Linked DNA regions of Xenopus tropicalis. The protein of the gene in region 2 interacts with the protein of the main gene of each other region in a pairwise test. Links are inferred from orthologs where the notes say so. Each region holds a gene or a part of one and is shown on either strand. Other genes may lie near its edges.

Region 1 (3,500 bases), on a different chromosome or scaffold from region 2:
AAAGGCCCATGCAATTCTAGGCTAGCTGATAAACCAATTTCCTAAAATGAGCCAAATCACCAGAAATCCTCATTTTTTAGCCACTCAAACATTATGCAGGCCATATGTGTGCAAAGAGCAATGCCTCAACTCCCAAGCAACGCTAAAATTGACATGATATATTATATTACATATATGAATAGAGTGAAGAAATAAAAGAGATAACTGCACATCTAATGAAAAATAGCTGGCAGATCTGTCAGTGTAGCGTATCTTTGTGTATTACTGCATACCTTCATATGTAATAATATCAGTTCTTGCCAAGTTACATACACAGCATGCACGGCTAGTGCACTAAAAACAAGGCAGGCAGCTAAGAATGTCCAAAAATCTGACTGGGTGTTGCTAGGCAACTAATACTATATTAACAGCGTGTGCAGAAATGGACAGATAAGTACCATTCGGTTGCACAGTAGGTCCGGTTTCCATGCTATTGCGACATATGTTGGAAACTTAGCAGGTACTTTTTACAACTCTTACCTTCTGTCTTCTTTTCTCTTTCCTTTTATCTTCCGTGTCCTGCAGCATTTTTTCTTTCCAGAGGTCAAAGAAGTACGACGGATCGGTGTAGAACTTTAAGCTGTCCTTTTTGTCATCTCTAAAAAGATAAAGGTGAATATTTACATCACTTGCAAGCTCTGTTACATAAGGATCAGTGTTTATTTGGCAAATATGGCAGTGCTCATACCTGCCATGGATCTACTTTATCAGCTCTGATACTCTAATAATGGCTTATAGCACGTGTCAAATACAAGGCCTGGGGGCCGAATACGGCACTTCTGGCTGTTTTATGTGGTCCCTGGTGACTGTGCTACAATGGCAACATTTTGCAAGTTAGGGTGTGGGTTGAGTTTTTCCTAAGCAGCACATCACTTATACGTGGGCTGATAAAAGCTGCTGTCTCAACCCCTCCACACCGATTTGACAGCTTATTGGACTGTGTACGAGTCCCTTGGACTGCTTGCCCAACTGATTTCTGATTATCAAGATATCTATCAGATGGGTTAGAAAACCCCACCAAGCGAGGACCACATTGGCAGGTCTCCCTAGTCCTCCCATATGATTGGCTTATTGGCATAGGGGCATGTCGGTGGCCAAATCAGGCAAAGTTCTGCTCTGTTGATGAACTCAGCAAAAAAACAAATTCTCTTGCTTTCCTCAGACTGCATTTTTCACCCAAACACTTTTTACAAATATAAGTAAGTGCAATTTTCAGTGTATGCTCCTCACTTCAGATGCCTCGTATCCCAGGCCAAATACATTTTCACCCAAGCAGAAAAATGCATAGTTTTGCGTTTCTGCATTGATATCCACTCTGTGTAGTCTACACACCCCAATGCCATGCCTATAAATAAAGATAGGCAAGCAGCACAGGACACCTCCGCCTAGGTGAACAACACAAGCAGAGCAAAGTGGGTGATCTGCTTCATGTATGCCCAGCTTAAGTTTGCCTGTAGGGAGTGATATGATAGGTGTCAGCCAGCATAGGTTTTACTCTAATTTCAACTCAAGGAGAATGTTAAAATCAAATGTCTTTTTATGATTGGGATTGTTTGGTAGAACTGGGAAACACAATCAAGACGCACACTACTAACCTGTATGCTGAAAGTATATCGAGAGGAGGAGGTCTGTCGCACGTTCTATATATATCAATGACCGGTTTCGGGATGCTGTTCTTTGAGACGACCTGCTGGTCCTGTGTGGTCGAACTCTTGAACGCTTTGCGCATGTTAATATCTTGCAGAGACACTATAATTAGACACAAAACATGGCGGTCAAAGAAAATGTGCGATTCAGACTGGAATCAACCTCAGTTTTTATGTGCACTAGCGGATTAGCTAATGGGTTAAACCGGTTCATACCATATCAAATTCGACCCCGTCTGTGCTGAGTAGAAGCAGTATGATGGAAACATACAAGGTCCATAATAACATGTCTGTATTTTAGAGCCTGACAAAGCCAAATTTCAGAGCCCAAGATATCACCAAGCACTGTCTATAGGCCGAGTGCTTTTATACAGGTCATGGACCTCCTTGGTGACCTCTAATATCCACGTTTTTTACAACAGGGGTAAATAATTATAATACACAAGTTAGTCATGTGATGGTGATTAGTACTGTAATTTCTAATTATATAACTGATGACATCACTAAGCACCGTTTATAAGGATATAATTTACAGGATATTCATGGCTCTTGTATATAATAAGGGTATAATTTATAGCATATTAAAGGAGAAGGAAAGGTAAAAACCTAGTAAGCTTTATCAGAAAGGTCTATGTAAATACAGCCATAAGCACTCATAGAAAAGCTGAACTGAGTCCTCTATCAAAAGAAACACAGGATTTATTTTCCTTCTTTCCCAGGGCGCAGTTTTCTCCCCCTCCCTTAGGAATGTGTAGTCTGAGCTATAATGACTAAGCTGCAAGGAAGCTATGAAGACCAAGCTAAAATGTCAGCTGCAATCTCAAACAGAGAAAGCTTCTAGGGTTGTTTACTCAGGTATGGTAATGCTTTCTGCAAAATAAATATAGCGTTCTAAGGCACTTATATGGCGAATCTATTGGCAGTACAATGCCAAAATGACTTTCCTTCTCCTTTAATAGCTCTTGTGTATTATAACTCTACTAAGATATAATACACAAGAGCTATTATTATCTCTGTTGAGAAGTCACTACTAGACCTCCTTTACTTTCCTCACCACACTTAATAACTGGCTATGCAATGTGGGTTGACTTAGCCCCCTAATTGTACATATCTCTCAATTCTGTGCTTTGGCCACCGAAACAGCTATTTCTAAGGGCGAAGACAGACGGAGCTGCTTAGTAGCAGCTACTTGTCACGGCTACTAAACGCCAGAAAATTACTCTGCCACAGACAATACTGAGAATTGCCTCTGCTAAAACACACGTAGAGACAATTATCAGTAAATGATCCGCATTGTCTGTTTTTGTAGCTATGGTGAGTAGCTGCTACTACTAGCTCTGTAGTAGTACAGTAGTACTGTATAGCAGTAGAACACAATTTTGACTAATAACATTAACCTCAGAGCTCAATGACAGACCATTTTACATTCCACAAGGCATGTTGTGCAGGGTGTTAAGACAGTAACCAAATAGACTAATTTGCAATTGCTTCAAGCTAGGAGGTTAATAGATTGTGGTGATCCTTTCAGAGCCCAACCATTAAACAAAGCGATAAATTATTCAAACCCTATTACAGCCCAATTATAGTTTTATTTTCCAGGACAGGCAAGTGAAAAGGTCAAAAATATATATAACTGACCTTATACAAACACTAAACAATCAGAAGGGGAAAGAATGCCTAACATCATTAGATAATAATCAGTTTCCAAGACCCAAATTCTGATTTCTGCTCTTGGGCTGCTGTTAATTTTTAACCAGCTACTATTTGACTAAGGGGGGAAATTATATAATTGCAGTCACCCCTCCTTTCACTATT
Region 2 (3,500 bases):
AAAAAATCTTCAGAGGGGCCCAGCATGAACAGTCCCTCCTCCCCTCCTGGCTCGCTCACCACTTACGTCTAGTTTTTGGCTTAAAGGACAATGAAAGGTTAATATAAATTAAAAGTAAGTCTAAAGGCATTCTTTTTAAGTACTTACTGCATATCTAAATTCCCAGATCCCTGCTTGCTTCTCTGAGATATGGTGCTGGCAGCCTACAGCAGTGTGAAGACTACAGTGACATCATTGAAATCTCTCTGTCCTTCCTGTAGGCTGCCAGCGGCAGCCTTCCTATTCTCTGAGCATGTGTGTAACTTGATCCTGTCTGCTGTTCTGAGCTACACATGCCCACCAGCCAATCAGAAGCAGTTCTGGCAGAGGGGAGGGGGGAGGGAATGAAACACATGTGCAGTATGAAGCAAGGAGGGAAAGGAAGGGAGATGGCTGCCTATTCTAGAAAATGTGAAGTAAGTGTGACTGAGTAAATATTTGATTAGGTGAGCCAAAAGTGTGGCGTTTTTACTAAACAATAGGAGGACTATTGGGCAGTATGCTTTTTAAATTTTGACTTGCATTCTCCTTTAAGTCACATGGGGCTTGTATGCTGACATCAGCCTACATCTGTGCCTGCACCCCAAGCCACTGCCTGAGTCCAGGATTAGAAACCCAGTGTGGATTTTGGTACCACAAGTTGCGAGTATGCATTTCATCAGTGAAATTCATTCTATGTGCCTGTACCAGGGCTGACGAAGTGGCTCTGACTGCACACACCCGGAAAGCCTGTTCAGAGCATAGAGGCTGATTCTCTTCAGTCCAGTGTGGCCGTATCCATAAGGTAGAAGAGGGACTGGATAGGGGGCACTATGATGCAACAGACCTTACGGACCTGGCCCCCCCACTGCCTACCACCCTGTGGGGTCTGCTTTATATAGTTATGCCCCTGGTTTAACAGCTAAACTAAATGTTTCACCACCTCCTGGTATTAACCTCATCAGTAGTGGTGTTTTCAAATAAAGTACAATTCAAGGGGAGCTCTTATTAAAACCAAAATGTAACACATTTTGGAAATACCATCCTTTTTATACATAGTTAAAAATTGTGCAATGTTTCTGGAGTAATCAAATTACTTGTCACTTTCTTCTCTCAGAAGGTCTCTTTGTGAGTCAGTTTAATACATTAGCAAGGCAGAGGGGTCGCAGTGAAGAATTCCAGCTAAATGTCCATTAAAAAACCTAACTGATACACAACCCACCAGTATAAAGAAAGATTGCTGTGAGGGCTTAGTGAAAAGTAACTTAATTATGGTCCTTCAGTTTTAATAATTATATTTTGAAAGTATCTTATTTCATCCAGATGATACAAAAATTTCAAGATTTTTTTTAAACCTTTTGATCTCTTGTTGCTGTATGTATATGGTATAAGGAAAAATCTTTAACCATTGTATGGTTCTTTATGTAAACACAATTTTCCCTTTAACCTATCTTTTCTAAGTCAATTGCTGTTATTGACTGCCATGGGCTGGATTTTGTGTAAGCAAGCTCTTTAAGGGCTCTGGCACACGGGGGAGATTAGTCGCCCGCGATAAAACTCCCTGTTCGCGGGCGACTAATCTCCCCGAGTTGCCTACCCCTGCCATCCCACCGGCGAACATGTAAGTCGCCGGCGGGATGGCAGACGCGGCGGGGCAATTTCAGGGAATCGCCGAAAAAGACTCGCGATTTTCGCGTCTGCCATCCCGCCAGCGACTTACATGTTCGCCGGTGGGATGGCAGGGGTAGGCAACTCGGGGAGATTAGTCGCCCGCGAACAGGGAGTTAATCGCGGGCGACTAATCTCCCCCGTGTGCCAGAGCCCTAAGACTACATGAAGCCAGCTGTTCCAGTGTACCAACTAGGCCAAAACTCGCAATCTGTGGATTCTGGCAAATACCAGAGGTGCTGCTGTAAGATGCCATAGAGAGTCACTATTGGACTGGTGGGGGTTGTTTGGGCCAGATCCTATTTTGAATGCTAGTTCAGGCCTGGTACCAACCACATATATTATATACTTACAGGACCCGAGCAAGTTTGGGTTTCATTCAGCTGTAAACACTCTGCGTTACAGGCAAAGCACTTGCCATCTTCTGTGTATTCTCGTGGCTCCCTAGTAGGCATATAAGAAACAGTCACACATTAAAACATATGCAATACACTCGTCAAAGTACAGGGCTGCTTATGCCCTCAGTATTATAGAGAAAAAGTAAAGATAAGTTCAACGTTATACCAGGGGATTTGAAATAACAAAAAAAAATATATATATATATATACATACATATATGTGTGTATATTATATACATTTACTACATGTGTACCAATAAAACCTCTTTCTTCCTTAACACATAAATATAAATAAAGTTCTATTGAGATGTAAATATCTTTGGAGTGTCACTGGGCACTGAATAAACATTGCATACAAATTTATGTACAAATGTATATAAAAAGTTCTACCAATAAATAATGTACTTTATGCAGAATATAACAGTATAATATTTATACTAAATGTAAAAGTTTATAAAAGGTATTGTGCAATTGTGCATCTGCAGGAAACATCATGCTTTGCACTTTTGAGTTGTGACAGGCTATATGTGCGATCTTGCATTTAGCCCATTACTGAGGTAGAATTCTAAAAGAACTTACCCACTAAGAAAGTTGCAGTTTTCTACACATTCCCTTCCACGCATATATTTACGGCAGGAAACACATTGAAAAGGCCCAGGTCCCCAACATCCCTCCTCAGAGCACAAAGGATCACAAACATTGCCTTCACTTTCTAAAAAACCCAACACAGAAAACTAGATTATGGTAACCTACAGAAAAAATAAGCCACAATAATACATTTCACTTTTATAAACCATGGGTCTGTAGATTGCTCATAATCATGCTCTGGGCAGAGCCCAATCTTTGAATAGGGATTTCAGGAAGGACAGACGGTGGCTGCCATTGAGCAATGAATACCAATCATTTTACTAATGGAGGTAGTAATAGCAGATCCATATATTATGAATTATGTAATTAATTAATTAATTATTTATAAAAATAAAAGGACACATTATCTTTTAAAATACAATGTGTAATTGTAACAAATATAAATAAAATACATTCAATTAAGAAATCAATGCATTTTTCTGACCTTAAAATCCTCTTCAACAGTTGAGGCTAGTATTTTTTTACTCAAAATGCAGTGATCCAACACTGTAGTCTTTAAGCAGTGTCTAAACATGTGTAGACATCTGAATGCCATGATCTACTCTGTCTGCCATAAACTTTACAAGAAGCCAGTCTCCCAGCCCATACATACCATAAGGCACAAATTACACCTGATATCTAAGGAAACTTACCACACTGCTCAGGACTTTTGTTGTCTTCAATTATCCTTGCCTGTTTCGGTATTCTAAAGATGTTTGTAAAGTTGATGGTGTTAACAAAGCAGAGATTTTTGTTTGTTTTAATGATAACATCTCCATCACTCACTTC

What was found. The genes of interacting proteins can lie anywhere in the genome.
Region 1: the proteins of egfr (region 2) and wasf3 interact in a protein complementation assay, tested with the Homo sapiens proteins (3 studies listed by BioGRID and IntAct, with this or other methods). The link is inferred for Xenopus tropicalis from reciprocal best matches to the Homo sapiens genes EGFR and WASF3.

Annotation. Positions count from the first base shown.
Region 1 is NC_030678.2:155,678,455-155,681,954, forward strand, and holds part of wasf3 (wiskott-Aldrich syndrome protein family member 3), read right to left. Parts: intron 1,789-3,500; coding exon 1,635-1,788; intron 638-1,634; coding exon 520-637; intron 1-519. UniProt on the Homo sapiens protein: Downstream effector molecules involved in the transmission of signals from tyrosine kinase receptors and small GTPases to the actin cytoskeleton. Plays a role in the regulation of cell morphology and cytoskeletal organization.
Region 2 is NC_030682.2:56,863,676-56,867,175, reverse strand, and holds part of egfr (epidermal growth factor receptor), read right to left. Parts: coding exon 3,365-3,500; intron 2,797-3,364; coding exon 2,664-2,796; intron 2,131-2,663; coding exon 2,040-2,130; intron 1-2,039. UniProt on the Homo sapiens protein: Receptor tyrosine kinase binding ligands of the EGF family and activating several signaling cascades to convert extracellular cues into appropriate cellular responses.